Linked DNA regions of Coturnix japonica. The protein of the gene in region 2 interacts with the protein of the main gene of each other region in a biochemical or structural test. Links are inferred from orthologs where the notes say so. Each region holds a gene or a part of one and is shown on either strand. Other genes may lie near its edges. The genes, in order: HIF1A, MAPK1, MBP, SMAD1, ATF2, TNFRSF1A and PTPRR.

The links.
Region 1: of the proteins of MAPK1 (region 2) and HIF1A, one has a biochemical effect on the other in vitro, tested with the Homo sapiens proteins (3 studies listed by BioGRID). The link is inferred for Coturnix japonica from reciprocal best matches to the Homo sapiens genes MAPK1 and HIF1A.
Region 3: of the proteins of MAPK1 (region 2) and MBP, one has a biochemical effect on the other in vitro, tested with the Homo sapiens proteins (16 studies listed by BioGRID and IntAct). The link is inferred for Coturnix japonica from reciprocal best matches to the Homo sapiens genes MAPK1 and MBP.
Region 4: of the proteins of MAPK1 (region 2) and SMAD1, one has a biochemical effect on the other in vitro, tested with the Homo sapiens proteins (3 studies listed by BioGRID). The link is inferred for Coturnix japonica from reciprocal best matches to the Homo sapiens genes MAPK1 and SMAD1.
Region 5: of the proteins of MAPK1 (region 2) and ATF2, one has a biochemical effect on the other in vitro, tested with the Homo sapiens proteins (3 studies listed by BioGRID). The link is inferred for Coturnix japonica from reciprocal best matches to the Homo sapiens genes MAPK1 and ATF2.
Region 6: the proteins of MAPK1 (region 2) and TNFRSF1A form a complex in vitro, tested with the Homo sapiens proteins (2 studies listed by BioGRID, with this or other methods). The link is inferred for Coturnix japonica from reciprocal best matches to the Homo sapiens genes MAPK1 and TNFRSF1A.
Region 7: the proteins of MAPK1 (region 2) and PTPRR form a complex in vitro, tested with the Homo sapiens proteins (2 studies listed by BioGRID, with this or other methods). The link is inferred for Coturnix japonica from reciprocal best matches to the Homo sapiens genes MAPK1 and PTPRR.

Annotation. Positions count from the first base shown.
Region 1 is NC_029520.1:49,074,639-49,078,520, forward strand, and holds part of HIF1A (hypoxia-inducible factor 1-alpha), read right to left. Parts: exon of another isoform or gene 2,910-3,882; coding exon 2,707-2,909; intron 1,551-2,706; exon of another isoform or gene 1,428-1,550; intron 1,422-1,427; coding exon 1,315-1,421; intron 1,129-1,314; coding exon 981-1,128; intron 726-980; exon of another isoform or gene 354-725; coding exon 133-353; intron 1-132.
Region 2 is NC_029530.1:385,872-390,260, reverse strand, and holds the start of MAPK1 (mitogen-activated protein kinase 1), read right to left. Parts: upstream 2,969-4,389; 5' UTR 2,745-2,968; coding exon 2,602-2,744; intron 1-2,601. UniProt on the Homo sapiens protein: Serine/threonine kinase which acts as an essential component of the MAP kinase signal transduction pathway. MAPK1/ERK2 and MAPK3/ERK1 are the 2 MAPKs which play an important role in the MAPK/ERK cascade.
Region 3 is NC_029517.1:81,533,144-81,537,025, reverse strand, and holds part of MBP (myelin basic protein), read right to left. Parts: intron 800-3,882; coding exon 369-799; intron 1-368. UniProt on the Homo sapiens protein: The classic group of MBP isoforms (isoform 4-isoform 14) are with PLP the most abundant protein components of the myelin membrane in the CNS. They have a role in both its formation and stabilization.
Region 4 is NC_029519.1:27,332,737-27,337,187, forward strand, and holds the start of SMAD1 (mothers against decapentaplegic homolog 1), read left to right. Parts: upstream 1-1,314; 5' UTR 1,315-1,390; intron 1,391-4,451. UniProt on the Homo sapiens protein: Transcriptional modulator that plays a role in various cellular processes, including embryonic development, cell differentiation, and tissue homeostasis.
Region 5 is NC_029522.1:14,864,099-14,867,980, forward strand, and holds part of ATF2 (cyclic AMP-dependent transcription factor ATF-2), read left to right. Parts: intron 1-3,150; coding exon 3,151-3,329; intron 3,330-3,617; coding exon 3,618-3,732; intron 3,733-3,882. UniProt on the Homo sapiens protein: Transcriptional activator which regulates the transcription of various genes, including those involved in anti-apoptosis, cell growth, and DNA damage response.
Region 6 is NC_029516.1:71,186,239-71,190,120, reverse strand, and holds part of TNFRSF1A (tumor necrosis factor receptor superfamily member 1A), read right to left. Parts: coding exon 3,752-3,882; intron 2,201-3,751; coding exon 2,119-2,200; intron 1,822-2,118; coding exon 1,754-1,821; intron 1,534-1,753; coding exon 1,411-1,533; intron 1,073-1,410; coding exon 1,035-1,072; intron 321-1,034; coding exon 164-320; intron 1-163.
Region 7 is NC_029516.1:32,690,893-32,695,298, reverse strand, and holds the start of PTPRR (receptor-type tyrosine-protein phosphatase R), read left to right. Parts: upstream 1-1,265; 5' UTR 1,266-1,336; coding exon 1,337-1,397; intron 1,398-4,406. UniProt on the Homo sapiens protein: Sequesters mitogen-activated protein kinases (MAPKs) such as MAPK1, MAPK3 and MAPK14 in the cytoplasm in an inactive form.

The DNA.
Region 1 (3,882 bases), on a different chromosome or scaffold from region 2:
GACCTCATTAAATTTTAAACAGTGGCTGAGAGATCACTAGGCAAGTGAAAGTGGGAAGTTATTTTCCAAAGTTTACTGCAAAATACCAAACTTTACTAATTAGCATGCTCTCCAATTTAAACACACACCCACCATTGCTGCTGAAATCTAGGGAGATAATCGTGTCTCCAGCAGCTGGAGCCAGCACAGTTAAAGCATCTGGTTCCTGCTTAAGTTTTTCAAAAAGGCTGTTGGTATCATCCAGGTCATCTTTGCTGAATATTTTGGTCATTTTCATTTCAGGAGACTCCACTGGTTTCAGCATACACTCCGTTTGTCCAAGGGAAAATATCAAGTCCTTCTGAACAATTCCACTGCCAGACAGAAAGGAAGATGATTAAAAACCAGCTAGAATTCAGCCCTCACGATTTTCTAAGTTGCCATGAAAGCATCAAGAAAGTAAGAAAAAGAAGTAAAACAAACTTCGGGGCTTTCCTTAAAAGTCTTCTACTTTTTTTAAATGAAGGTACTATATCTTGATGGATTGATACTGGTACGTTCACTAAAGCTGTGAAAAACTAACTTAGGACTATTCCACTGTCGCAGAAAAATACTTCAAGTCTGCCTTAAGTTTAAGGTTTCAGTAGAAAGAATTCAAAGGAAGAAAAAGATAAATGGATACCTCTGACTCCATCACTAGGAATTACCAGTGAGTATAACTGTTCTAGACTGTGGACAAAAATTAGGTAAGTGCCTACAATGCCCAAATTCTGTTTGCCTGCAGAGATCTCCCCACTGATATCTCTACAAAGTGATTGTCTTTTTTAATCCTAATCCTACGACTAGCAGCATTCTAAGTAAAAAGCTAATCAGTAGGAAAATCAGATAGCACTGCAGCATATTGAATAGGGACCGGATTCTTAGCAAGTCAAAGATGAATCTGACTCAGTCTTCCAAAAAAAATAAGTCATGACAAAAATAGCAATTCCTACTTAACTTACCTCAACACATAATTTACACATACTATGCACTGTGGCTGAGAGTTCTTAGTGTTGTATATAACAGTTGCTTGAGTTTCAACCCAGACGTAGCCACCTTGTTTAGCAAGCATTCTGTATTGTCCCGTTGTCACCTGCCCTTTCGTGAACACTAAAACCAGAATAGACATCAGCTTTAATTACAGGCAGAAAAAAATATATCCCTTTTCAAGCTAGGTATTCTCTGCAGATTCATATCTGCAATTAAAAGGAAAACCCTTGTTATTCTGTGGCTTTCCCTTGGCTCTCTATCTCACTTCTTGTACTTGAGAGCATTAAATACATCTTTTTCACTTACTGTCGTGGTGTGTTTTGGTCAGATGATCAGAATCCAGCGCATGATAGTACTCATAGATTGAACGACCCAGCAGTTCCTCTGGCTCATATCCCATCAACTCTGTAATTCTTTAGAACAAGAGAAAATTTGCTGAGCAGACACTGAGCAACAGAAATACAAGAGCATATGGATGCCTGTAGATCCACAGAGAACTTAAGAATCTCTTCCACGAACATTACCAGCAATGATGGTTTAGTGTGAGTATGCTTTTTTTTTTCCTAATGCTCCTTTAATAAGATACAAGACATTTCAGCAGCCATAGGATTTTACTTCTCATTGAATATTTATAAAGCATGTCCTGTGATGGACAGGATTAAGTAAATCCCTGCTTTTTAGACGTTATTGCTTCAAAGTAGACAAGCTACTTACAGACTAGAATATCCAGCTTACACAAATGAGAATATAATAAAATAAAGACATGCTTTAACAGTTTTAACCATGCAACTAAAACAAATTATTAATGAGATTTATTCTCTTCACTGTTGGCTTTCAAAGTATTTTCTACAGCCCCTAGAGGGCAGCGCTAACTAGGAAAAAGCACCAGGCCCTGCTTTATGCACAACATCACCAAATTCACATGTTTTACATACCACCAGCAGCCTAAGAAAGGTAAAGCTACTGCACGGGGCAGAAAGTGACCTATACTAACGTACTTTTGTATCTAACTGCAGTAACTGATTAGAAATTCGTTTTTACATTAAAGAAAAAAAGGAAGGTCTTAGCAGTAATAAATAGAACCCATAAAAAAAAAAAGGCCAGTGATTTCCTTCCTGTCTGTTTTTTCAGATTTATCAAGCATGAGCTTCCAAAGAGTAGTAAGATGAGTATGTATTAGACTACATCACTGACATACCATAATACAAAATCTTGTTTTCTACTACAGATGTGTTGCATTAAAAGTAGAACAAAGCTTTACTTTTTTTCCTGACTGGAAAAAGCAGATGCTGATCTGACAAAAAAAAAAAAAAGCAGCACAACATGCCTGACAGATATTATGTATGTACTCTTTTTGGTCTATAAACTGCACCACCATCTCCAGCAATCCCTTCCATTTTCTCAGCATCCAGAAAAATCTTCTCATTTCAATGTAATCATTACCACAACACTGTTCAAACTGGCCTTTAACTGAGGAATTACTCACTATTACCCTACACCTTCCTTACACTTAAGAGTTTGGTTTTTAATACGACATCCTGATCAGTCAGTACAAAAGCCAAAGCATCTCACTGACAACTCCATTTTTGCAGATAATTGAGCCTGTAAAAGCATGAGGCCCACATCAGCCAACACACACAACCCCTGCAAATCATTCCTTCACATGAATGCAGATTTTAAGAGCTGAATATATTTTACCTTTCATCACAATAGGAAAATTTCATATCAAGACTGTGACGACTGAGGAACGTCTTACTGTCCAAGGGGACCTCAATGTTCGATGGGTGAGGAATTGGTTCACATATCAACACCAAGCACGTCATGGGAGGCTTCTTGTAGCCACAGTGAGTTTGATTATTGCATGTGTCATATACACGTATGTGTCCAGTGCAGTGCAGTACCTGTGGGACAGTTAGACTTAAGAAGAGACCAGACTGCTTTCTGTCAGCCAACACAGATGCACTTCCATTGATGCACACAGAGTTAAGTGCTTCCCTCCCCACCTCTCTAGGCTCAGCGTTATCAACAGCAGGAACACAAGAGTGCATTTAAACTGATTGTTAAAATACAGACAGTTCTCGTCATCTTACATAGGCTGTTAGTACACTCTGCCAGCTCCTTCCTCTCATGTCTGCAGAAGCAATGCCAGAAGTTTCTGCATTCCTGTCAATGTCTTTGACAGCTAAACTCATTACACTGGTAAGCAATTGGCATCCTACTATGTCAACCTGAGAGTTACGCTAATAGTATCAGCCTCCCTTTTAGATCTGCAGAAGTGATGTTAGAAGACAAAATCAAGTGCATTCTTCAAACGATGAGAAGGTTTGCATTTTCTCATTTTCCCCTTTTAAAAACAGAAATCTGAACTAGAAATAGTTCACGTACAGCAAAGAAGTTGTTCTTTGATCAACAGTAACTAAGCTTAAGTTAAAAAGGATATTTTTAACTGTAATGCCACTTTATACAGTAAAAGGCTGCCTAAAGGAAGACATGAAAATGCATCCATCTCAGACACTTATCAGACAGGGCTCTTTTAGTCCCAGCTATTACAAAAGGGATAGCCAGCAACTTCAGAAAGAACAACACAGGAGTCTTTCAGAGGAACCTCAACTGTTGGATTTGCAAAGCTGAATCAAAAGGAATGGAGTATCAGTATAAATGGCGTCAGGTATTTTTCCCTCAGAGGAGGCGGCTTTATGCAAGCATTTAGTAATTATAATTTCTAACAAATGAATAACCTCTAATTTAAAAGGGAGAATTACAGAGTTTTGAAAAACTAATTTTAAACATTGTTTCAGTTACCTCCCTGATGCATTCTGCATTAAAATTCAGCATATTGAAGCACAATCATTAAATGAAATACTTACTGAAACC
Region 2 (4,389 bases):
AACCATTTCCTTCCAAAAACTACCTGTTTTAAACTATCAGACAATCCCTTACCAAATCAGCACTGACCACGTGGATGGAGAACAGCTCCTGCTGGCAATGCAGGGCTCAGTACCTGCAGAACCTTTCGAGGCAGGCTGCCCCACCAGCACCTGGCGAGGAAGGGGCAGCTTCGTTCCAGAGCCATCACTGCACCTGAGAGCTCCGCAGCTTCCAGCAGCAGCCAGTACTGGCTGATCCCAGGCCAACAAAGCCCTGTATTTGCTATTTCATGTCTTACTGTCAGCAAGGTGCTGCGGATTTCAGCTACATCTCAGCATGGTGCTCATCCCCTGGTTCCACGTGCAAGAAAAGTGAAAAACAACAGTTTGGGAAGGGATGCTTACATGGATACCCACTTATTAACCTCTTAACTCCCAGCAAGATGTTTTTTAAATATGAACTCCCTAATTCAGCGATGTGGAAACATAACACTTGTGAAAAATAAGCGAGTGAGGGATTCCACTAAGAGTTAAGCCACCCATTTTGCATATAGCAAGCCTTACAGCACAATGCATTTAGAAATAACCAGCACCTTCTGTCTCATACACATCAGCTGACTGCCTAAAACAAAGCCATTAACGCTTGCCTTGCTGTCCTTTCTTAAGAGTACAAACCTAAATGGCTTTTCAATAGCAGGAGCTGTCTCCACCTGCACCCTGTGGCTTTGCCCTCTGCCACCCCAGCCCGGAAGGGAGATGCTCTGCAGATCTGCACTGCGTTACAGTCAAAGCAAGACCCGGGACACGCAGTACGAATCTGCATAAGCTCTACCTGCACTGCTCAGTAAGCACTGTTACTTAACCATAGTAGTCGGTGTGCTGCGCTGCAAGGCATGACAGTTGCTATGGCATTCAGCTGGAACATGTGCATCCAGCACCTCCTTTGTCAAACACGCATAAACTGAGACTTTGTTCCCTGGCATTTCACACCCAAGGCAGAAGATCAATAATTACAGTGCAATGTATCACGTTCAGGATTTCACACCAACAGCTTTAGAGAAGAAAACAAAGGAGCCAAATGAATATCTCAACTAAACTGGAGATTCAGAATTTTTTGTTAAGAAATACAGATAGCATTTGAAGCAGAATATCATTTAATATGGCAAGTTTCCAAACAGACGATAATATTCCACAGTTTCAGAGAGGAAACCCTTCCATAACAGAATGGAGTGACACACCGTGTGCAGGGGAAGAGAAGGACCCCGTTTCCCTGTCTGCTCCCAATCACGGTGACGCCAAAAAAGGGCATCAGCTGCCACCGCACTGCGCCGTGCACAAACATCTCAGCGTGAGCAGCCGGCTGCGGCACCACCTCGGTACCGCACGGCACGGCGCTGCTCACAGCTCCTGCCTGGATCGCTCTGCGGGCACCAAGCTCTGCTGGGGCTGCGAGCTGCCACCCGGCTCCGCTGATAAAGGCACACAATAACAACACCTGGAACACGAGCTCTGGACGGGCCGTTGTTGTGACTTCCAGCACTAAACCAATAACAAGGTTATTTTTACACCATCAACGGGAGCTTTTGTTTTTTTTGGTTTATGTGCTGGAGCTTCTTCCCACAACACAAAAGCAAAGGCCGCAGCTTTAAAGTTCCTGGCAGATGTTTGTCTGCCTCCCCAGCAGCTCAGGAGCGGCTCCAGCTCCCACCAACACAGCTCGGCCTCACCGTGACGGAGCAGCACATCCCCACAGCTGCGAGAGGAAACCTGCAGATCCACAGCGTGCAGCTGAAGGCAGCAAGGCAGCTCTGCTGAGCGATACACTGCGGTTTACAAAGCACGAACCGACAGAGAGAGAAAGCAAAGCTGCTACACAACCATAGCTGCGAGTGTCACACAGCACCTCCGGTCACACAACACACCGGGAAGCGCCGCGATGGGCCCGTCAACGAGGAGCTGCGTTTCCCATCCACAGCCGCCCATGCAGAGCAGGTGCCCCGAGCCGAGCACGGCCGGCCCAGCCCGGAGCTCAGCGGCAGCACCGCGGCTCGGCCCGGCACGTCGGGGCCGCTGCTACAACGCCAAAATCTCGCGATCGTTGTCCCGCATTTCGCGGTTGGCGCTCGGAGCTCGGACCGGTCGGCGCAGAACGCGCACACACGGCCCGGCCGCCGCCTGCCAGCCGGGCAGGGCCGAGCGGAGCCACCCGGCCGCAGCCGCAGCGGGAGGCCCGGGCAGCAGCAGCAGCAGCAGCAGCAGCAGCCAGGTGAGCGCCGCACAAAGGGACAGCGGGGCCCAGGGCACAGCGGGGCAGGGCAGGGCCCAGGGCAGGGCAAGCGGCGGCCGCCCGGCCTTCACCTTCACCTGCCCCGCCCCGAGGCCGCGCGGGCCGCTCCCGGCCGCACTCACACAGCGCCCCGAGCCGTACTCACCACCCCATGCCGTACTCAGCACACTGTGCCGTACTCACCACCCCGTGCCGTACTCAGCACCCCATGCCGTACTCACCACCCCATGCCGTACTCACCACACCATGCCGTACTCACCACCCCATGCCGTACTCACCACCCCGTGCCGTACTCACCACACCATGCCGTACTCACCACACCATGCCGTACTCACCACACCATGCCGTACGCCCCCTCTCCGATGTACGAGAGGTTGGTGTATCGCGGCCCCACGTCGAACACTTGGCCCCGCACCATCTCCGGGCCCCCGGTGCCGGTAGAGCCGCCCGCGGCCGCGGCCCCCGCCACCGCCGCCATGTTGTCCGTGCCGGGAACCGCGGCGACTGCGTGCGGGGAGGGGAGGGAGGAGAAAGGAGGGGACGGGAAGGAGGGAGCGAGGAGGAAGGAGGCGGCTCCGCCACACCGCGCTGAGAAGCACCGGCCGGAGAACGGGCCGCGGAGAACGGAACGAACCGACCCGCCGAGCAACCACCGCCACCAGAGCGGGGACGGGACGGGACGGGAGGGGGCGGGGGGCGGGGCGAGACCGGGGGGGCCTCGGACTGCGGTAACCGCAACCGACGGGGAGGGGGCGCGGCGCGCGGGTCACGTGGGCGGCGGGTCACGTGGTGGGCGCGGCCGCTCCGAGCGCCGCCATTAGAGGAGTCAGGTGATGGCGGGAGGAAATGGAGACCGGGATGGGGGGGAACGGGACGGGACGGGACGGGACGAGCACGGCGGGTACGAGCACCGTGCGGGGACGAGCTCCGTGCGCGTCGCTCTGGGCCGGACACGCAGCCGTTCCCGCGGCTCCGTGTCCGGCGCTACGTGCGCGTTCCCGCGCCCACACGGTGCTGTCACACACGGTGCTGTCACACACGGTGCTGTCACACGCAGCCGGGCCGGGCCGTCTGTCTGAGCTGACATTAAAGCATCAGTGACAGAAGGAATGGGAAGGTGTCTCAAGCAGGTCATTGGTTTGATGGCTGAAACACGGCGTTATGTTGAGGGGATGCTGATACCACGAAATGACGGCGGGTAATGACGAGTGGAGAGAAGAAAATGAACAGCATCATTGGGCTTAGAAAAAGCACAAACAGCTGCCCCACAGTGCTGCTCTTGGGGATTTCGTTTTCTCTGCTAAAACTCAAACTGAACAGTGATGCAGGAAACTTAAAGGTAGTTTATAGAAACAAGTAAAGGAAACTTAAAGGTAACAAGTAAAAGAAACAAGGGGCCTGGGAGAAGCAGGGAGAGTGCTGTGCTCTCAGTGCTGTGCTCAGTGCTGTGCTCTCAGTGCTGTGCTCAGTGCTGTGCTCTCAGTGCTGTGCTCTCAGTGCTGTGCTCAGTGCTGTGCTCTCAGTGCTGTGCTCTGTGCTGTGTTCTCTGTGCTGTGCTCTCAGTGCTGTGCTCAGTGCTGTGCTCTCAGTGCTGTGCTCAGTGCTGTGCTCTCAGTGCTGTGCTCAGTGCTGTGCTCCCAGTGCCCCGTCGTCCAAACCAAATGCAGACATCCAGTACAGAAAGCAATTTTCCAAGTGTTATTTAAGGAGACTTCAAGCCTCTGCCTGGAGGAGAAGAAAGAGAAGTAAGACATGTAAGGCATTCTATAAAGATGTATTTTAACTTCTAAGGCAGTCAGCAACCATGGTGATGAATGTGACACAAACTGAAATTGCTCGGATATGAGCTCTGATCCACTGGGAGCCATCCTAAGAGAGTCATAAAGAGCATCAGATGCTAATGACTTCTAATCAGAACCTACCTGGGCCTGATTGAACTGGTGTCATACAGCCGAAAGCCCACGGGACAAGTTGTCATTTAAATGTCATCCACTGCTTCAGCAGTGTAAAGTGACCTCCCCGTGACTGAGAATCTCTGTCATTTTATGCTGTTGGGCAGATAAAAGCAGTATCTTGCCCAAAGTGCAGGGCAATTTGATGCCAAAACAAACTCACTTTCTTTT
Region 3 (3,882 bases), on a different chromosome or scaffold from region 2:
AAAAGCAGGCTCAGGTCTCTCCCTAAACAGCACAGCATACAAATACACACAGCACGCCATATAAAATGCTCATCAAAATTCTGCTTGGTAATGTTTCTAGAGCCACCTGGATTTCTAATACACCTCGTCACAACCCAGAAACAGCTCCTTGCATTTCTCAGATTTATGTTGGTTTTGTTTTTGTTTTTTTGTTATTTTCAGATCAAAGCCAAGCATTAAGTTACACAACTGCAAGTACAGTCTTGCTGGCTAAGTCAACTCTTGCATTCTAGCAGTTACACCTTCTTCTCAGTCCCACCCTTATCTCTTTAATTGTATATTATTTTTTTTTCCTGGAGCTGTGCAGTTCTCTATTCCTCAGAGCTCACCTTGCCAAAGCCCCGCCGGGGAACGTGTCTGTCACCTCCAAAGAATCTGCCCAGCGAGTCAAGTAGACCCGAGTCTCTGTGCCTTGGAGATCCATGTCGAGCATGGTCTATAGTGCTTGCCGATGCCATTTTTGATCCGTGCCGGAAAGAGGAGCGTTTTTGTGAAGCCATCAAATCCGAATTCTCTGAAGCTGCTGCACTGTCCTCTTGGATGGTCTGTAGCTCGTCTGACTCCGAGGGCCGATCTTTGAAGGTGTTGTCTTCTCTCCCCGGGGCATCTCGGGAAAAGAGGCGGATCAAGTGGGGGCGACCGGCCGTGTCAGCTGGGTGGGACTGGGGCCAGGCATTCTTCGGATCCGCTGTGCCTTTGGAGTCTGTCACCGCTGGGCTCTTCGTGGAGGTCCCATTGTTCTGGTTCACATCTGCCTCTCCTGCAAACAACAAGGATGAGATATGAATACAGGCCTGTGAAAAACAGCCCGGGAACAATGCTGCTTTCTTTCCACTGCCTTGAGATGGCCATTTCATACAAAACCCGTAATATGTGCTGTTGCGACGCAACTATGTTCTCTAGCAGCCTGCAAGAACATTAAGCTATCTTGGAACTGAAACTGCAGTGATGTTCTCACACGAAATTTGCAGTAGTTCTAGGTGGTTTTTGTGGTTTTTGTTTTTTGTTTGTTTTTGTTTTAAATTACAAGTATTTGTAAATAGATTAATTTGTTAGAAGCATAACTGACTTCAATTGGCTTATGTGGAAAGCTTAGTGACCCTGAGGCTTTTAGCTACAACGTCTGGACAGGCAGATTTCCAGTACTTTCCACTGAAGACTGGAACTCTACAGCATGTTTTTTTGTCTCCTAAACAGGGGAAAGTAGTTCAAGTGACATAGCAGGACTGATCACTTCCCAGTGCATGCTCCCCCTCTGCACTGTCCAACCTTCTCCAGCTGAAGTTCTGCCCCCGCTTTGAATTTCTCACTTTGACAGTGAAGCAATTCCATTAAATTCATGAACAAAAGCAAAATGAGGTGTGAGAGATTTATTTACTACTTAATTATCATCTCTTCAAACAAGTAAAAAAAAAAAACTGCAACCTCTGCTTTGCCTCCCAGGACAGTTGTTCTCCCTACATTTCCCAGACTATCTGATGCTGAAGGCCATGAGCAAAGCTATCCCAATTGCATTTAGTATTTGTGAGAAGTGATTAAAAAGGATTCACAGAACCCAGTGAGCATTTTTCCAAGAGAAGCTCCAAGACAGATCTCCTTGACCTGTGCCAATATTTGCTGCCTTCTCTACAGTTGGGTTCTGATGCACACACTGGATTATCTGCAAAATAAATCCGTTACAGCACACATAGCACTTAACACATGCTCTATGTTGATAGAAAACTGAGTTTTTTGTTTGTCTTCCTCTGTTGTAGACTAAAACATGTAGATACATACTGCATCTAATATGCCTTCCCAGGAATACAAAACCAAACCAAACCTGTTGGTAGATTACTGCTTGAGAATCAGTCTCAGAGCAAACACTTCTCACACACACCCCCCATGTCACAAATATCAAGTTTTTTGGAGTTAATAAAGCTTGAAATTTCAGACAGAAGTTCTAGTTAGTCACGTGTTACTTTTAGGGTTTCCTGATTACCTCATTAAATCTCCCTTTGCTCTGGCCTTTGATGCCATGTGAGGAACAGAATCCGGCAAATACTGTTACATTTCCTAAATAGCCAGGGCTCCAGTACTTCAAAGCAATTTTGGACTTGATGAAGTCATTTTATGCCACTTTTCCCACCCACAGGGCACTGAAGAAACCTCTCCTCAGGCTGAGAGCATTTCTGAAGTAAATTAAAGGGTAAAAGCACAAGACAGAAATTATGATTTCTCCAACTACATACCTAGTACTTACCAAGTGACAATTTGTTGTTATCAGCCTGCTGCAGTTCTAACACAGCTTCTCATATGAAAATATTTTGTGCAATTCCAATGTGTGCCTTTGAAAACTACCCAGACTACATTAGGGAATCTTAGACTTTCCTTTGGTTAAAACACTTGAAAGTATTTCTCAGGATTATACTTGTTTAACCACTGCTAATTGTAACTTAAGACCTCATCAGAAGAGAAGAGGAAGATATTTGCTGGCACCGTTGTGATTTTAGTTCTCCTGAGAAGATGCTTTTGGATTCCTTACCAGTTACTAAACCTCAACTGTTTTTCCTTAATCAAATGAAAGATAAAATAGCATCACCAGTACGTGACACTTTCTGAAATTGCAAAACATTTTAAATAGCAACCATAACCCCGGATTCTATACCATAATACAAATCCATTCAAGGACAGAAAAAGAAAAATAAACAAAAGAGCTATTGTATTTAATTAAATGCATTAACAAGACACCAGAGCATCTGCATACTAATATTTTTTACAACAGTTGTGCTTTGTGTCACTGAATACGTGCATTGGTAAGCAACAAAGAAGGGCATTTGTGCAATAAAAGTTGCTTCTGTGAGCTGTGAAGCATAAATCTTTCTGTATGTTCTATTTCAGTAATGAAAGCATACATTTAAGTAAGTTTTCTTCTAAATTTTCTTCATGCTCAAGTGTTCTTTAAGGTGTAAAAATACATAAATAACAATATTTGAGCTAACTAAGTGAAGTCTTCAAGCGAATTTTGAGAGAGCAGCCACCTTTAAGAGACCCAGAAATAATGGAACATGCAAACGTTTGTGCATAGGTCTGGTTAGAAACAAGTATTTAGACTTCTACTAAGGCCCATCATAAAGACAGGGCAAGTTATGCTGATGTGTTTTTTGTTTGTTTCTTCCTGCAATATGAAGTTCTGCTTTGACAAGGCTGTATAAGACTTCAAATAAGCAAGAATAGCCTTCCTATGACACATCATTTGTACAAGAGAAAGCTGTCAGGGAAGAAGAGGGTTGCAGGTATTATTTTTACCCCCCAAAAAAGTCTTGCAAATTAGGTTAATTTTAAGAGTAAATACAGCACATTGCATTTCCATAAGCATAACTGGAAGACTATTAAATTGTACGCTGTTGGTCTGAGTGGACAAGCCATCTGTTTCCAAAATGAAGCAATATAGATGAACCAGAAAAATCTAAACAGCCAGTTAATGAAATTAAATGAATGGAAACTCTGAGGGGACTTTCAGTGAACCAATATTAAAACTAACCTCCATTGTCTTTAATAGGAGTCAGGCCACACCTCACTATGCTCAAAACCACTGTGCCTTGAAGCTCAACTTGGCAACAGTGATTCATCACATCTCTTGACAATCAAAACGACATCCCTGAATAAGCCTCAAGTTAGCTGGGACCTCTCAGCCCTGTCTGAACAATTGCTACTGTCAGAACCTGTTTTATACAAAGCAAAATACTAGCGGTAGGACTAGAGGGAATGGCTTCAAGTTGTGCCAGGGGAGGTTCAGGTTGGATATTAGGAAGAATTTCTTCTCAGCACTGGAACAGGCTGCTCAGGGAGGTGGTGGAGTTACCT
Region 4 (4,451 bases), on a different chromosome or scaffold from region 2:
CATGTGTCTGCCCTCCAGAAGGAGCTGCACAAATATCAGCTGGGGAGGAGCTGCTCTTGCTGTGCTTTATAGGATCAAAGAGCAAGTGGAGTGTTTCTGTGTCTATTTGTATAAGGTATAATGCAATGCAATTCTGGTCCTGATTACTAATAAAAGATAGCATAGACACAATTAAAAAGCACCTCATACGGACCCAAGTAGAAAAGATGAGACAAGGCTTGGCAAACCACTGGCTGACCTAGTCTGTCACTCCTTATTTTGTTCCTATTTATTCATCATAGGGCTAATTAGTAGTATATTACAGGACTGAGGTCATTAAGACTCAGGCTTCTTTGCATCTTCTCCAGCTAATTTTTAAACTAACTGGAGTGTTTTGGTAGACAATGCTGCTGTTTTCCATCCCCCAGCCCCCTCACCTTTTGTTTTGGCATTTACACGTGGTCACTGCCTTTAGTAGGGCTTCCTTTCAGCATATTGCAGTGGCTGGAGACTTCCCAGAGTAGCTGTGTTTCTTTCCTGTTTCTTGTACTGCTGTCCTGAAACAGGTGGGAGCAGCATGCAGACTCTGCCCCATGCACCTTACATCAAAAGGACCTCACTTGGTATGTGCAGACTGGGAACTGAGCTGCACTGCAGAGAACTTCAAGGATGACAGCGCTGGAAAATCAAATCAGCTTTAGAGAGAGAAACACACAGCTGGGTCTGCACTGATAACAAGCATTTTCAATCACTAAATCATGAAAACTGCACCATGCAGGGATAATTGTCTCTTGTAAATGGCACTGTAGTAACTAGGAGGCCAGTGATCTGTATTTAATGTGATTATATACCACGAATCAACGATAAGGCAGGCATTGCTTCTCTGATTCACTTTTGTCGAAATTGAAAGAACGGAAAGTAAAACAAAAATCAGAGCAAAGCAAGTATAAAAAATGTGAATGCTTTTCAGCCTAAAAGTTCCAGAAATTAATTATTCTATAGCCTGATACAGTCAAACACTACGTATCTATGAAGAACAAAAGGTTTGTAAATTCACTTTGGCCTTAGCCATCCATCTGTGGGCAGTGTTATGCGGTGCGGGAGGTAGGAGACCTGACTGCTTGCAATCCTCTGGGCATTTTCCTCTCGAGCCATTGGTGCTATGTGGTGCCCTGGCTAAACTTTAGGTTGGTTAATTACCTTCTGACTAGTTAGTTCTTCAGGAAGCATCATTGTCACTGTCTTTAATGAGTCTGAGATAAAACTTTGTATGCTTTGTTAGAGCACAACAATTCTATGTAAAATTCTATATGTATATTGTGTTTTGCAGGCAAAGATAGTGACTGGAACCAAAGAGACTCAAACCAGAATAAGGATGAACACACACTAGATCAGAATCTGGGGAAATGAGGTGAGGTTAACAGTTGAGTAATTAGTGGTGTGAATGAGCAGAAATGTGAGTGTAAAGGGAAGAGAATGGAACTGTAAAAGAATATGTTGTGTTATCTGCTCCGTTATTGCATATGTCTTTCTAGAAAATTCTCATGATGTTTGGAGTCTGAAACCAACTTACATTTCTGGCTTTTTGTGTCCCAGTATTGACAAACTTTAAAGTAGGATTTTGAAAAAATAAGGCTGGCAGGTTATACCGGGATCAAAGAAACTGAACAATCTTCCTTTCTCTATTACATTGCCTCTGAAAATGCCATGCCCTCAAGCAAAACCAAGGATGATTTTTTTAATTAATCACAAGGCATGACTGTAATTTTATTTCTCATCTGAGAAATGAGAAATCTGCTCCCAGCAGCACAATGACTCTCAACTACGACCAACCAGGACTAGATTGGGGTATCTCAGACATCTGGGAAATTAACTGAGAATTGAAACAGTGCATTAGCAGTTGTCATCTAAATCCTATGTCAGAATCCTAAACTGTTTCTTAATCTATCCATGTTTTCCCTGGAGTGTATCTTATCTGTGCACTGACACACTGACCAAGTTTGACATATTCTGTTCAGGATTTGATGAGATCACAGTGCAAGACTGTCTAACTGCAGGCCATAAATTGTTGCACTCTTCCATCTGGTTGCTCTCTGACAGGCATATGCTTTGCTTAATCGGGGTGATATACTCTCTGTCAGTGCCATCTTCTAGGTGCTGAAAGCCTTAGGAGCATGAACAACTGAACTGTAGGGGTTTCACATGCCGTGTGACAGTACTTTGCAGAAGCTGGACCAGCTGTGCATTGGCTGAGGCTAATTTCTGATTACAGGTTTCCAGTTAGAATAAGGCAGCATTGCTATATCTTGCTATTTGCGGTTACTGAGGGACTTCCTTGTGATGATGATGTCCATATTGAACATTTGATCCTTGTCTGTAAAAGTGATACGTTTCTGCACTCAGATCAAATGCTTCATACTGAAATCTAATTGTCTGAAGAGGCACATGGGTACCTTAGTCTCATTGACTGTGGAACTTAGAATACCACTTTCCGAAGTATTGGTGAGCCATGAGGTCTCTTCCTCTGACATCAGCAGAATCTCTGGATATGCATGGCATAGTTCAGTCCTTAGAACTATGAGGGCTGTCGGCCCATGACATTAAAGGCAGTAGAGGTTGAACCTCCCTGCCAATATCCCTTTACATGTTGCTGCCCTGTGACAGATGGCAGCAGAGGGGCAGTCTGACAAAATGATGTCTGAGGTAGAAGTGCACGTAAAGCAAGGATTTGTCACTGAATTCTTCCATGCGGAAAAACTGGCACCCACCGACATTCATTGACACTTGCTGAATGTGTATGAACAAAGAGTGTCAGTACAGTGAGGCAGTGGGCAGTGTGTATCAGCAGTAGTGATAGCGACGTGAAAGACAAGCCATGATCCAGGCAGCCATGCATGTTTTCACCAGCATGGTATGCAGTCTGTTGTTCATTGCTGACAAAAATGCATAGCTAATTGTGGTGGCTCTGTTGAAACGCAGTGTTTTGTAGCTGCAAATTTGCTCTATCAGGTAGCATTATTATGTTTTGTACCTGTTGTAGTTTCCAAGGAATAAATAGGAGGCATTACTTTCGGAGCAAACTACGCATAGTATTAGTGGGCTAAGATAATTGTTTGTCATTCAGGTTGCCTACACTGAAACTGTATTGATTTGATGTATTCAGAACTTCATCAAATATTAATTATCCTAGGTGTGTGCTTCAGGCAGAATGTGTAGAAAATGTCAGAGAAAATGTTTCAGCCTTTCTGAGAACAGGACAAAGAAATGAACAGATTGTTTTGCCAGGGCTGAAAATGTTAGAGAACTTTTGGGAAAATATATCAATTTGGCAGGAAAAGGAGAGATGATTTTTCTTTGACAGGAGATGAGCAATGAGGTGTAAAACAGCTTTATCTTAGCCTCAGTTTTGCAACTAGGTATTGCCAAAGCCCTTTCTGTAATGGTTCGCTACAGCATAATCTGGTGGGGAAAACAAAATCACTGTGTGTTATTTCTGACCACTGTTTGTTCTGTTCTTTGAATGTGACAGATCTTTTGGAAAGAACATGTATAAGCAATAGAGGATGGGCGTCAGGACCCGCCGCGACTGAGTACTTAAGATGATAACAACCACATTGATCCTGATAGGTCCTTGCTTTCAGCGGCCTAGTTTTGCAGTTTTTGGCTTATAGTGAGGACTTATAGATTTGTGCAATAATATATGAAATGTAGAGGGGGTTGCTTTTAAATCTACTCAACTTGTTTGTAAAAAATTTGGCTATTTTTGATCTATGAAGGAAAGACGGAGCTTAAAATTGGTCCTAATGCCTTTGTCTTGTGGGCAACATTTTCCAACACTTTGCATGACTGCCAGGATGTCTGAAGCCTATGATGTCATTTCCTCCTGAAAGTGCAAACAGAAACCAATACATATACATTTATTCTCAGGACTTGTCAGTTATGGAGAAGTCACTAAGAACTCATTACCTTGGGATGACTAATTAATTACTAATTTACTTACTCTCCATAACAGAGTAAATAAGCTCATTCAGTTCCTTGGTCCTATCATTCTTTGTCTTCTTTATTCACCAAAGAGCCCAGCTTACAGTAGCTCTTCTGAACTCACATGTGCTGTTGTACTTGAAATGAAAGAGTTTTTCCTCGCTTCAAAAGAAGTTCACTATATCTGTTACAGTTTCATAAGCACTTCAGCTGGCTGAAGCCATTCACCCTTTCTCCCACCGTATTCCTGCTCCTACGCAGGGTCAGCACAAGGATTTGGACAACCACACAGTGAACCTTATCAGGGAACTGATTCAAATTAAAAATGAACTTGGCCCCTGAAACATTTGTTTTTCCCAGCCGCGCCAGTTCCCTAGGCCTGTTCTGTCTGCAGCTGCACCAGCAACTGTGCCAGCACAAAGGAGGAGGGTGACACAGGGTTAGGGATGAGCAGCTCTTGTGGGAGAGAAAGGGTGGGACTGTTTTACTGC
Region 5 (3,882 bases), on a different chromosome or scaffold from region 2:
TGAATATGTTTTAGTAGTCTTAAATGGTCACAGCCTGTTAATGTACGTGTAAGAGGGTTCTCATTTTCTTTGTAGTTGTCAGAGCTATTTCTTAGACACTCTTGAAAATTGTGCTTCGTTCTATTTTTAGTACTGTGGGAGAGTTTTCTTAGTTCCATGAAGCTTCAGTAACAGTTGTTATTCTACGTAGAATAGACTAATATACCACTGCAAGTACCTAAAGCCTTTCAGACGTAAAATAATAAACATAAAAAGCTTAATTTATTATTTGAGAGTTTTCAAGTTCATTATTGTTTCTTATTAACGGTATATTAAAAGGAGACCCTCAGAGTTTCTCACGTTGTTCTTCTTGTTGTTGCCAGGTAACTAATTCCCTAAACTAATTATTTCAAAACCATTTGTTTTCTTACATTGCTTCTCAATTACAGCAATAGCTCTGGCCATCTGCCTTTCTGTATAAAGAATTCCAAGCATTCATTGATTGTGTTAAAAAGTCATCGCATGGTATTTGCTTTTAGACTCAAAATCCCTGCAAATATGCAAGTATTGAAAACAAATGTAAAAAAATATAATTGTCTTCTGCAAAAAAAATTTCTGAACTTCAGTGGTTTTTAGTTTCAAGAATAAGGATTGAAGAGGTCCTTTCAATAAATCTTCAATATCTTTGAATAGGTTTAAACTCCTTTTTCTTTTACAGGTGGGTACAATCTCTTACGGTCATGATTCTGCCAATTTATCTTTTTTTTTTTTTTTTTTTTGTCCCTGTTCTTTAGCAGAATTTACAAACTATCCTATTTTAGACAAAATTTACACTTAATAAGAACAATTCTTTGTCCAGTGAATTTCTTTATTGGGATGGCGTGCTGGCGGGTTTTTGTATGTTCATAAAACAACAGTTTCTTGTAGATCCAATACATCTCCAGTTTACATTATTGCAGCATTGTTTAATTAGCACATGCTTTCCAGAGTTTAACTTAACACACGTTAGTGTGAGAAGAAGAAATGGAAAATACTTTGTTTTCAACTGAATAAAAGTGTTCTTCTTTTAATGTTTGGCGACCATTTTTGCTCTTTTAAACAAAGCACTGTATTTAAGATAGGCTGTATTTAATTGAAAGAGTTGCATGCATATGAGGTTTCTGTTTTCAGGATTTTAGATAATTAACTTATGTTACTAGATTGATCTTCTGATGGTCACTGAAATACATTTACTATGGAGTGCTTGGTGTGAAAGATGAAAATTACCTTTCTTCAGGTAGAGACTCAGTCCAGGAGGAGATTCATTTTACAATCAGTATTTATTAGGGTGCTCATCATTTAAGCTGTTATCAATAGCCAATATTCACATAGTGCAGTAACTTAACCGTGTTCCATAGTTGAAGTAGAAGTTGGGAGGCGGGTCCCAGCTGCTTGCTCGTAAGTGGAAGGTTGTAGTGGTGGAGGGTTAGGTGGCTTTTTGGAAGCCCTTTAGGAGGTCTGTTCTGTCACCAAGTCCATATATAATCCTGTAGTCTTCACTTGTACGTAGCAGCCACCAAGTTCATGGATGTTACCTGAATCGTACAGTATGTTGACATTGGTGTCCATGCACACCCCAGTGACCACGTGCAGATTCAGCTGCTTTTCTGAGTTTATCCATTGTTACATATTCAACAGGGCTGTTTTTCTCTAGAGTTTTGTAGTCTTTCACATGCTGCCTCTGAGCGCATGCTTCTAGTTTTGGTCTGTTGTATTCTTGCAGCTATTGCCCCATCTGCTCACACAGGTACTTAAAAAAAACAACTGTTCCCACAGACCCATACAGAAAAGGGTCTGCTCTGGCATTACTGTTACTGAGAAGGTATGAGTATCTGCACATGAGTGCATTTTTGTCTTAAAGCTGTAACACATGGTGGTTCTGTGGCTGTAGCTACCTGTTTTTGTTGGGTTTTTTTTCCCCACTTTTTTATAGAAAGTAGTATTACTTTGCCATGGGTATTCATTCTGTGGTGTTCATGTATCTGCATTTATATTTATATGTACGTATATGTGTGGTTGCTGTGTATGAAGATGTTTCTGGTGAAAGAGCAGAAAAAAACCCACCATCTCTTAAAGCTGTTGGTTCTGCTATGTATGGCAAAGATGGGTGTTCCTGTGTTGGAGACTTTCTGGTGACTCTGCTAGCCTCCTTGGGTGTAGTAACAATGCAAGCGGCAGGTAGGAGAAAATGAAGCTGAAACGAGTGAAGAATGGCACAATGCTATTTTTTCAGTTAACTCTCGCTAGATTCAGGGCTTCTGCCTTCCTTTAACTTCTAGTCTCAGGAGTGTAGCTATATGGGCCCTTGACTGTAGAGTTAGTGTGAAAATACCAGATACTGTGGAAAAATCCCACGTAAAGACAATCTGAAGTCTGACCATATGGAAGGTTTCCTGAGAAGGAAGAAATTGGTTTTGGCAAGGCACTTTTGGTTTCACTGGGTTACTCATACTACATTCCAGGTCATAATATGTGTTACCTGATTGCTAGGCTAAGAAATGCAGTGAGTTCTGTCTACTGTCTAGTTGTAGCTAAGGGGATTCGTTTCTTGTGCTAGGATCATTTTCTCTGTGTCATGATAGCCAAATATTTTGCAAAGCATCTGCGTTACATTCTAAGGAGTTGTAACTGCATAACACACTATTTATAAAGCATATGTAAGTCAGATATAAAGGATCATAAATTATTTCCTTTATACTAGAAAATTAACCTATTTTGTTTTTGTTCAAGTATGCAAAAATAGACTGAATTTGAAATGTTCACAAGGACACCATGAAATGTTTTCTTACTTGTTGTGGGTACGGTGGTGCAGATAGCACCCTGGGTTTCTTGGTATAAAAATATTTAACTAATAGTTAGATTTGATTGGATATTAATAGTAACCTTATCATAAATTGAGCCATGATTGGTCATAAAACTAAAATTAAACTACAATAAATTTCATTTTAGTGATTGAAATAATTAATCCAAAGGTTTTTATTATTTTTTTTTTAATGTACAATTGATTGTTCCTGCTGATTCAGATGTTAGGGAACTTCTGATACGTTCAGTTAAATTGTTTTCCTTTTATGACCTGAACTAATGGTGTATAACTGTATTTTACAAGCAGATTGATCTTTGGTTTCTCCTCAGGAGGTGTCACTGCAGCAGACTGCACAGCCCACATCAACAATAGTTCGTCCAGCATCGCTACAGGTTCCTAATGTGCTACTTACGAGTTCTGACTCAAGTGTTATTATTCAGCAGGCAATACCATCACCAACGTCTAGTACTGTTATTACCCAGGCTCCATCCTCTAACAGACCAATAGTGTAAGTTACATAAATCTTGATGTAATGCTTTCTTGCAGATTCTGAAAATATTGTCTTGTTAACTGTCCGTTACTGTTGCTTTGGTTATTATACAACTTTGAGATGCTTGCATGAAAGTGGTGCTTCACTACAGGTGAAATGCTATTCCGTGTTCTTCAGGTCAAGTTCATATTTTTAATCTCTAAATATTACATTGTAACTGTTTATATACCTATGTGTTTATACAATGTATAAGCTCGCTCTCTTCTCTGGAAAAGTTTTCTCTAATACATGTAATTCTTTTTTCAGTCCAGTTCCAGGCCCGTTTCCGCTGCTGTTACATCTTCCGAATGGACAAACCATGCCTGTTGCTATTCCTGCATCTATTACAAATTCTAATGTGCATGTCCCTGCTGCAGTTCCAGTAAGTAAGCATGATGTTATATTGATTTGAAAGTGTAGCAGGTTTGCGTAAGTGCAGTGTAGAACAGTTGTATTGGTTTCATAGGGTAGTGGTGTCATATACGCTGTATTATGATAACATACTCAGGCTTTCTTCATTTTTATACTTTAT
Region 6 (3,882 bases), on a different chromosome or scaffold from region 2:
GACTTGTAGGCTCAGAGATGCTGGCCAGGCTTTGTGCTGTGCTGTGCATGAAGTATGCATGCGCGTACACAAGGCAAGCACACCTGGTAAGATCTCATCCATCCTCCCAGCCATATCTGCATAATCAGATATCCCTAGGGAGGGATACCGGAGTTACACCTACTGTCTGGAAGCTGCCTCTTCCTGGCAGTTCTGATGCAGTCTGGCAGCTCATGTGAACTTTGTAGCAGAGGTGCAGATGGTGGTGCTGCATTCACTAGCAGTTCTTTTTCTTTTTGGATCTCGGGAAGGACAGTAATTGCACTCCCTTTCGCCTCAACCTGAAAGAGACAACGTCTTAGTTCAGAATCACCCACAGCAGCACAGTACTCCTATTACAAGGAATCACCAGCTTTCTCAAAGAAAACGTAGCAAAGACAGGTTGAAAGCAGATGGTGAAGTTTGATTTTTTCCTGTATCTCTTGTTTAAGCAGAAGGCATCAAAAGCCTATTTCACAAGGAATTTCATTCTTCTTTTGACATAAAGAAAGCCTGGAATCCCAACCCATCACCATTCTAGAAGTCCCAAAGGCCACTTCCCTCATCAACCTTCTTTGTAACACTATGGAAACCCTACTTTGACTATTGCTCTTAATTGCTAATCAACAACACAGCTGATGAAATGCTGTAAAGCTGGACTAAGAACATTATGGGTTGAAGTTCTGAAGTGAAATAAAATTATCTACATTTTCTCATCTTGGAATATATAAAAGGACAATGGGATTAAGGATTAGTTGTCTGAAAAAAACAATGCATCCAGAAAGAAAAGAACACAAAGCCAGGAGCTTGAAAAGCACCTCCTAGCAAAATGGAAGTAAGATTTTAATGGCTCCACCTGCTACAATGAAAGATTTTTTAACTCAACAGCCCTATTATTCAGCTTTTTTGAAAACCTAAGGCCTGAAAACAGCTCATGGGGAACAACTTTACTCTGGATCCCAGGTTAATGTGGTTGAAAGAGGAATGGAAACTCTTACAATCATCTTTTTGCTCACCTCAGATACTGGCTCCTTGCTTGTCTCTGGCAAAGATACTTGAATGAGAAAGAAAGAAAACAAAAATTATTTTCACTTCCTCTCTTCCCAGAGAAAACAGGAAAGCAGCTATTCATAATCCTGACCTCAAAAGGTTTTTACAGCAAACTCTCATCTGCCAGAAACGAGCTCACATGCACTTCCAGTCACAGCACAGAAGCAGAGTTGCAGGAAGTGCACCAAGCTTGGCTGTTGAGTTTTCACATTCCCTCTAGCCTTGGATCAGAGCAGTGTAATGGATCCCACTGTTTCCCTCATATGCGTATGTATGCATACATTCACACAGCTGAGTGATGTATATCACAATCAGTATCACAGCATATGCTGCTATACTCACCACACAAGTAGAAAGGAGAGGCTATCCCATTTTTCTGAACCATCTTCACTGCTTTATTTACAATGTAGACGACACAGATAACCACAAATATCGCCACAATGATGCCAAGAACAAGGTTCCCATCTGGACAAAAGGGAGAAGGTGAATGAGTGAGAGACTGAGAGGGGAACAGGTAAGTACTTAGGTACCTGAGAAAGAAGAACAAGGGAGCACATGCAAATGGTGATGAGTAATGAATAATGACTTGAAACACTAGAGACAGCAAGGTGTTGACAGATAATGTCAACAAAACAAGTTTGCACTGAAAAGATCCCATTATCCTCGAGGTTCCCCCAGTACTCACTCGGCTGAGATGAATTCGGTGAGGTAGTCACTGGGCTACTGCACTGCAGGCATTCTTCTCCAACACAGCTGAAAGTAAATCAGAAATGTGAGCATGCAGCAAATGCAACACCAGACATTTGCAACAATCCTAGAACAAGTCCAGAGGAGCCTGCAAAGCACAGCAAGGAAGTGTGCCTAATGACTGTGGTCCTCGATCAGAGAGGGCTGCAATGAAGGACAATACTAATTGCTCCAGAAAGCCAGAACCTTGTAAAATGAAGATGGACAGAACCTTGAGAAAAATTCCCTCCCCTTGTGGAACTTGAGTCAGTTCTCTGTCCTGTTCAACATACAGTCACACAGAGAAAAAGAAAAACAGCCCACCTGTTGCAATGCTTGCAAAGGTTATTAAGCGTCATGAAGAACATAGGCTTACACTTGCAAATTGCATCTCTGTCCTTTGAACCTGCAGAGAAAAGAAGAAACTCTTGCCAAAATCTGGACAACAAAGAAACAGAAAGGGGAAAAATTCATTCCAAGACAGGTGGGAGATTATTCCTCTTTGAGCCTGAAGAACTGTTATTGGAGAAAGGAAAGAAGATTCAGATTACTTGGGGCTGGGGAAGAAGAAAAAAATAATAAAGGTGAGGGCATCACTGTTCTGGTAGGTCAGACACCTCTGCAGAGGTTGGGAAAGGTTAAAAAAGAAGACTGCATCTGAGATGGGTCTGATGGATAAGAATAGTTTCAGCGCAGAATGGGGAAAGTCACTCCAGTTCAAGTGTGACAGGAAGGGGAAATTACATTAGGCAAAAATGAGGAAGAAGTGGTCTCTGAGCAGCTGGGACTGCTGAGGAAGTCAGTCCAGGGTAGGGAGAAATCACTTCAAGCGATGGGACACACATATTCACACTTGTGATCTGTTCTATGAGTGTACAGGGTGAGAAATTGAAGACCTATTGCTTTTAAGCAAGCCACAGCACAGATGCTGAAATTAAAAAAGAGCAGGCAAGAGTAGTGAAGGAAGGACAACATTAAAAAAGAGAGGTAAAAAGGCATTAGAATAAGCAGCATACATTCTGTTACATGTGAGGGACAGGACGAAGATCAGATGAGGGAAGGAAGTCATTCAAGGACAGTGTATGATGATGATCCTTGAGGGCAGGTGTAAGCACAAAAACTAACAGAATTCACTACACACCACAGGGAATGCATTTAACAAGGAGACAGAAAGGGGACAGGAGAAGCAGAATTTACGAGGAAGAGGGGATTACTTTAGTAAAGCAAGGTAAAGAGCATTTAAAGGACACGAGCAGAATTAGACTTCAGGACAAACTGGAGGGTGGCAAACAGAATGGGGTTAACATCTCTGATCCCCCACTGGAAAGGAGACAGCTTGACATAGCTAACATGGCTCGTTCTTTTAGACATCTGCACCATCCCCACATGACAGTGATGGTGATGAAATCCCAGTGGGTATACTTCAGTATTACATCAAGACACTGCATGATATACTGTGATGGTTCGGCATCTGACTGACAAGCAGCTCAGCTGGACACTGAAAACAGTGGTGTTGTCAGCCTTTATACGTACAGTACATAGACCAGTTAGCAAGGGAAATGCAATGAGCATACAGAAAAATACCCAGTGAAAGACAAAAAAAAAGTAAAAGGAAAGTAAGTAGGTAATCTGCATTCAAACATAAAGATCTTACATCAGTACATCCAAGGAAGGCAGAGCTACTGAAATTAAGTAGCAAATATATCATGATAGCCAACACAAGAGAACACACAATTAAGGTAGAACTTGTAACAAAAAAACAGGGATTGATTGCAAGGCATGCAAAAAAGTTACAGTCTTCCTCAGGAAAGCAGGCAAGCAAAACAGAGTTGTCCCAAAGCTGAAATCGCTTAAGGGCAAGCTGCTGCACCACAGTAGAAAGCAAGGAGAGGGATGCTAACATCTATCTTAATGGCATCTGCCAGTAGATATATCTGTATACCCATGCTATACTTACAGTTAGCAATAATTCCATTAACACACGGACTGCAGTTCTTACACTGGAAGAAATCAGCCTGGCCAAACTGATATTGATTCTTCCGACAGCCACACACGGTATCCTGCTTTAGGGTGCATGGGGTCACTTCT
Region 7 (4,406 bases), on a different chromosome or scaffold from region 2:
CACAGGAACTGCAGTTGTGGGGCCTTAAGAGGAGTGCACTGCACAGATAGACAGACTTCTATTCTTCACTTCTTTTAGTTCTGATTTTACCTATTCAAAATGAGGAGGAATAATCCGGATCATGGTGTGCTTCAAGTAGTATATGCCCACATCAAATTACCACCAAAAAGCAGCATAGGTCCTGTGAGTTAGCAGGGCATGTGAGGCACAATACCTACAAAGATATCACTGAGATGACATGGCTCAGGATGCTACCGTGCTCAAGTATCCCCTCAGTCCTTTTAGTTCCCCCATTTCGGGCTGAGCTCAAGATTGTGCTGTTTTCCAACCCAGGCGTTTTTTCACTTTTATTGCTGTCAAGCAGCCTATCGGCATGCCAACAGCCGTGCGGGGGCTGGCAGAGGAAGTTCGTTTGCATACGTACAGTCACACATGCAACCACGTCTATAAATCTGCTCCTGTGCAGCCCTCTGCATCATGACATTAAGGAAATGTCTACACACAGGTTTGTCTGAAAGCAACTACAAGAAAGCAAGCCCTGTTAATCTCTGTAGTTTCCTACTTCACTCCAGAAACTGTTTCTGCTGCAGGATGGACCATCAGCCACGTGCAACCCCAGTCCTGCAGACGGGCCACTTGTCGGGTGGTGCGTGTGTTTCTTGCTGTTGAGGCTGACCTCCGGTGACTCTTGTTCAGTTAAACACAGCTTTAGCAAATAATCGTGTTAGAGATCGTGTTAAATTTGCCGTGCCTGGCCTCGGTATTTGGGACTGATATTCCTGTTACCAGGCTTTGTGGGTGCCTGCCGGGTGGGTGTTGCATCAGCCCACTCCAGTGGCAGCTCAGCAGCCCCAAAGCCAATGCTACTTTCATTTCAGCCATGATTCCCAACACAGTTTCTGCTAAGCATTTATTTACAACACAGAGTGTCTGACAACAAACTGAAGGACAGGACTGCTTCCCCTGCAAGCACAAAAAACACACGTCTCCTACTTCCTCTGGGTCGAACCTCATACATACGCCCTTTAATATTTGGAAGACGCAACTGCATCAGCGAGCCAAGGCTGCGGTTGAAGCCTGATGGAGAATCCCCCCCGCCTGCCCCACTGTCTGTCTTCTCCCTCCCGCTCCTGGACGCTCTGCTCGCATCCCCTCACTGCTCACCCATCTCCTCACCCCGCGGTGGGGGCATCACCCACCCCACCTCCCTCCCGTCCGCGCAGCGCTGCGCAGGCGCAGGCATGCTCACTGCCGGGGGGAGCGGGACGCGGTGGCGCGGCGCTGCTCGCCTCTGCTCGGCTCCACTCGCTCGGCTGGGCTCGGCTGGGCTGGCACCATGCGGCGGGCGGCCGCGTGCCTCCGCGCTCTGTGCCTCCTGCTCCAGCTCCGCGCCGCAGGTGAGCGGGGTTGGCCGCGGGTCGGGCGTGGGGCGGCCGCGCACCTGTTGTAGCGGGGCCAAGGCTGGCGGCGGGCGGGATGGATGGAGGGCGACGTTTCAGCACCGCGGTCAGCGCTCTCCCGGCCCCGACCGCGGCGGAGCGGGGACAGCGAGCGAACGGGAGGAGACGGATGGTACATCTCCTCTTATCCTCTTTTTCTCCGCTTTCCTCTTCTTCGGGGGCGGGGGGCTGCTCTGAATCCCTCTCCTTTATACAGAGCTACACCTCATTATCCCCAGGATGGAAACAGAATCTGCGGTAAGGGTAGAATTAAGTAAGTTCTTAGCTAGGAAAGTAGAAGTGTTTCCTTCTCTATGGGCAGCATTGCTACTTCTCAGGTAGAAAATGGCTGTTGCATCCCACGTTTAACTTCACTGAAGTTCAATTAAGAGAAAGAAATGAACGCACCCCCAGATGCTATGCACCCTTTTGCTCCCATAAAACGATGCTTTTAGGAGAGATTTTAAAGATGTGAGTCATTTGCATTGCCTTATCGCAGAATCATTAAAAGTAATAATTGAGCTTCATGTCTCTTTGAATGTGGAAGCAGTGTGCGTACACAGATCCCACGCACAGCCGATCTGTGTATGAAAACAGCTGTGTGTCTGGGTGCAGCTGTGAGGGGGCACCGCATCCTTTTGTTTGCTGTGGGCTGGAGAAGTGCCATGCAGTGGTTATTGGTGTTTGATCGCCCTGGAAAAGCAGGCTGCACTTCATAAAACCTCAGGATCCTTTTTCCTTTCTGGTTAGGAAGCTCATGCTGTTATATCTTATATACATGTGTGAGAGAGACTATTGACTGAAAGGCAGAGCACATCCTGCAATCCATTTTAATAACAGCCTTAAGCTGCTATTAGATTGTTCTTTTACAACATGTATTAAAGTGATCATGTGTACAAAATTAGTGCACAGCCTCTGTTTCACAGAACATGCTTTCTAATCTCAGTTCATCCTCTAATAATAGTGGACTTCACATTAGTTTAGATGTGAATCATTTTTCTATCTTACTAATATCCTGCCAGAAAGCCATTTATGTTCCTTACTAAGTTTAACTTGCTTTATTAAGTCACTGAGAATCCTTGCAAAGCTTGACCTTTATTATGAAAGTATCTCTAATAATGAGAAAAATAGAGGAAAAATAACCTACAAAAGTTCATGTGGTGTTACTTTGTTCCCCAGGCAGTCTTGGAGAGTAAGTCTTTCAGAGAAGCCAACTGAAAAAATAGACAGGAGATGCATTCAGCCTTTGCATACTGGGCATGGCTCTCATTGAGTGCAAGAGCTGTGCTTCCTCCAGGCAGGGCTGAGTGCAACTTGTTCCTGTTGAAAGTCATTGAAGATGTCACAACAATAAAATAGCACAGCAAGCTTAAACTGCTCTGATTTCTGTTTCATTTGATGCAAGCAGAAAATGTGATCTTTCATGGGGTACCATTATAGACATCTTTTATGAATAGCCCAAACTTATAAATTATTGACAATGCTTTTGCAGCTTTGGTTCATGTGATATCATAAAATACATTCCCCTTACTACTTGTGCTGGGTCACAGATTATATCCGAAATACCAGTTTTTGGTAGTGTGATGAGAGCTGTTTGCTTTTCATGTTTCATTTTGTTCTGAGGCGGACTATACATGAGGCATGCTTCTGTGTAAGGGAATAGAGGGGACACTGTCAGCAGACATTAACAAAAACTCCCTTAATATCAATCAGTGATATCAGGCTTTAGAGAAAACAGAAGCCCACATTTACTTGATCTGATACTACTGCAAATAGAATTCACTCTCTAAAATGGTTAAGTAGTGCTGTTGGTATACTGGTATATCTCTTTCTGAAATTATAGACACTTGTGTGCATATCTGGAAGCAGAATTAGACCTTTCTGCTGAATTCAGCAGGTAAAGTAAACAACCTGTATAGAGCTTGCTGTTGGAGGAAGACCTAAATTTGTAGTAACTGATTACAGGTCAGTATGAATCTTTGATTTGTATTATGTATCACATGCGAGAGTGCAAGACAGGTTATAATTTTTTTAGCAGCTATGATCTAATGCATGTTCTTGCACTGAAAAATGAATGTTTCCCAAGATTACTAGAGAGCATTGTTTCCTTGTAAGAGAATGGCAGGTGGTAGCAAAAACACAAAATGAGGCATTAGACTAGTTTGCAATTTGAGCTATTTGCATCACAGATTACTCAGCTAATTAACTATTTCATTTCACTTTCTTTTTTAGCAGATTTCATGAAAAGAGTTAAAACATGATGGATAAAGAATTCAGTCATAGTAAATAACTCAGGAAAATAATCTAGTTGTGAAAAATACTTTCTCATTTAATGATTATAACATGAACCCACCACCTCTCTTATCTTAAGATCTTATCAGAGCATTCTTAAAGTATTTTTATTGAGAGGAACAAATTCTGCTGCTGGAAAAGCAAAATCTCAACAACAGGAGATTTGATCAGGTCACCTAAGACATGGTTTAATTAGCAAAGGCCTTACAGTAGGTTGTAGGGACTTCAGTTAAATTGTTTGTTGTTCTCTTCATCAGTGAAGAGATACACTGACATCCTTAAGTATGGAGCAATGCTTCTTTACCAGCCTTTGCAGGGAGGAAGCACATAGGTTCTAGTCTTAGTCTCTCAGTAGATTCCTTCTTGAAGCCTATCAGTTGAATCAAGTAAAATCCAAGTAGGAAACTGGTATTTTATCTCCTTGGGGCAATGTTTTATTAAGATGAGGATTGCTTGTATCAAAACTGAAATTTCTTTGACCACAAGCTAACACTCCTTTGGGAGGAATTCACTAGCTGTAGAACTGGGGGAGGGGGAGGAGGGGAGGCTGGGACGAGGTATGTTATTTTCTAAAAATCTGGGGAATGTAATTCTAGAGATAGATGAGATATGCACAAAATGCATTCACAATCAGGTCCCTTTTGTTAGTGTCATAGTAGTGTGTGAATAGTGCTA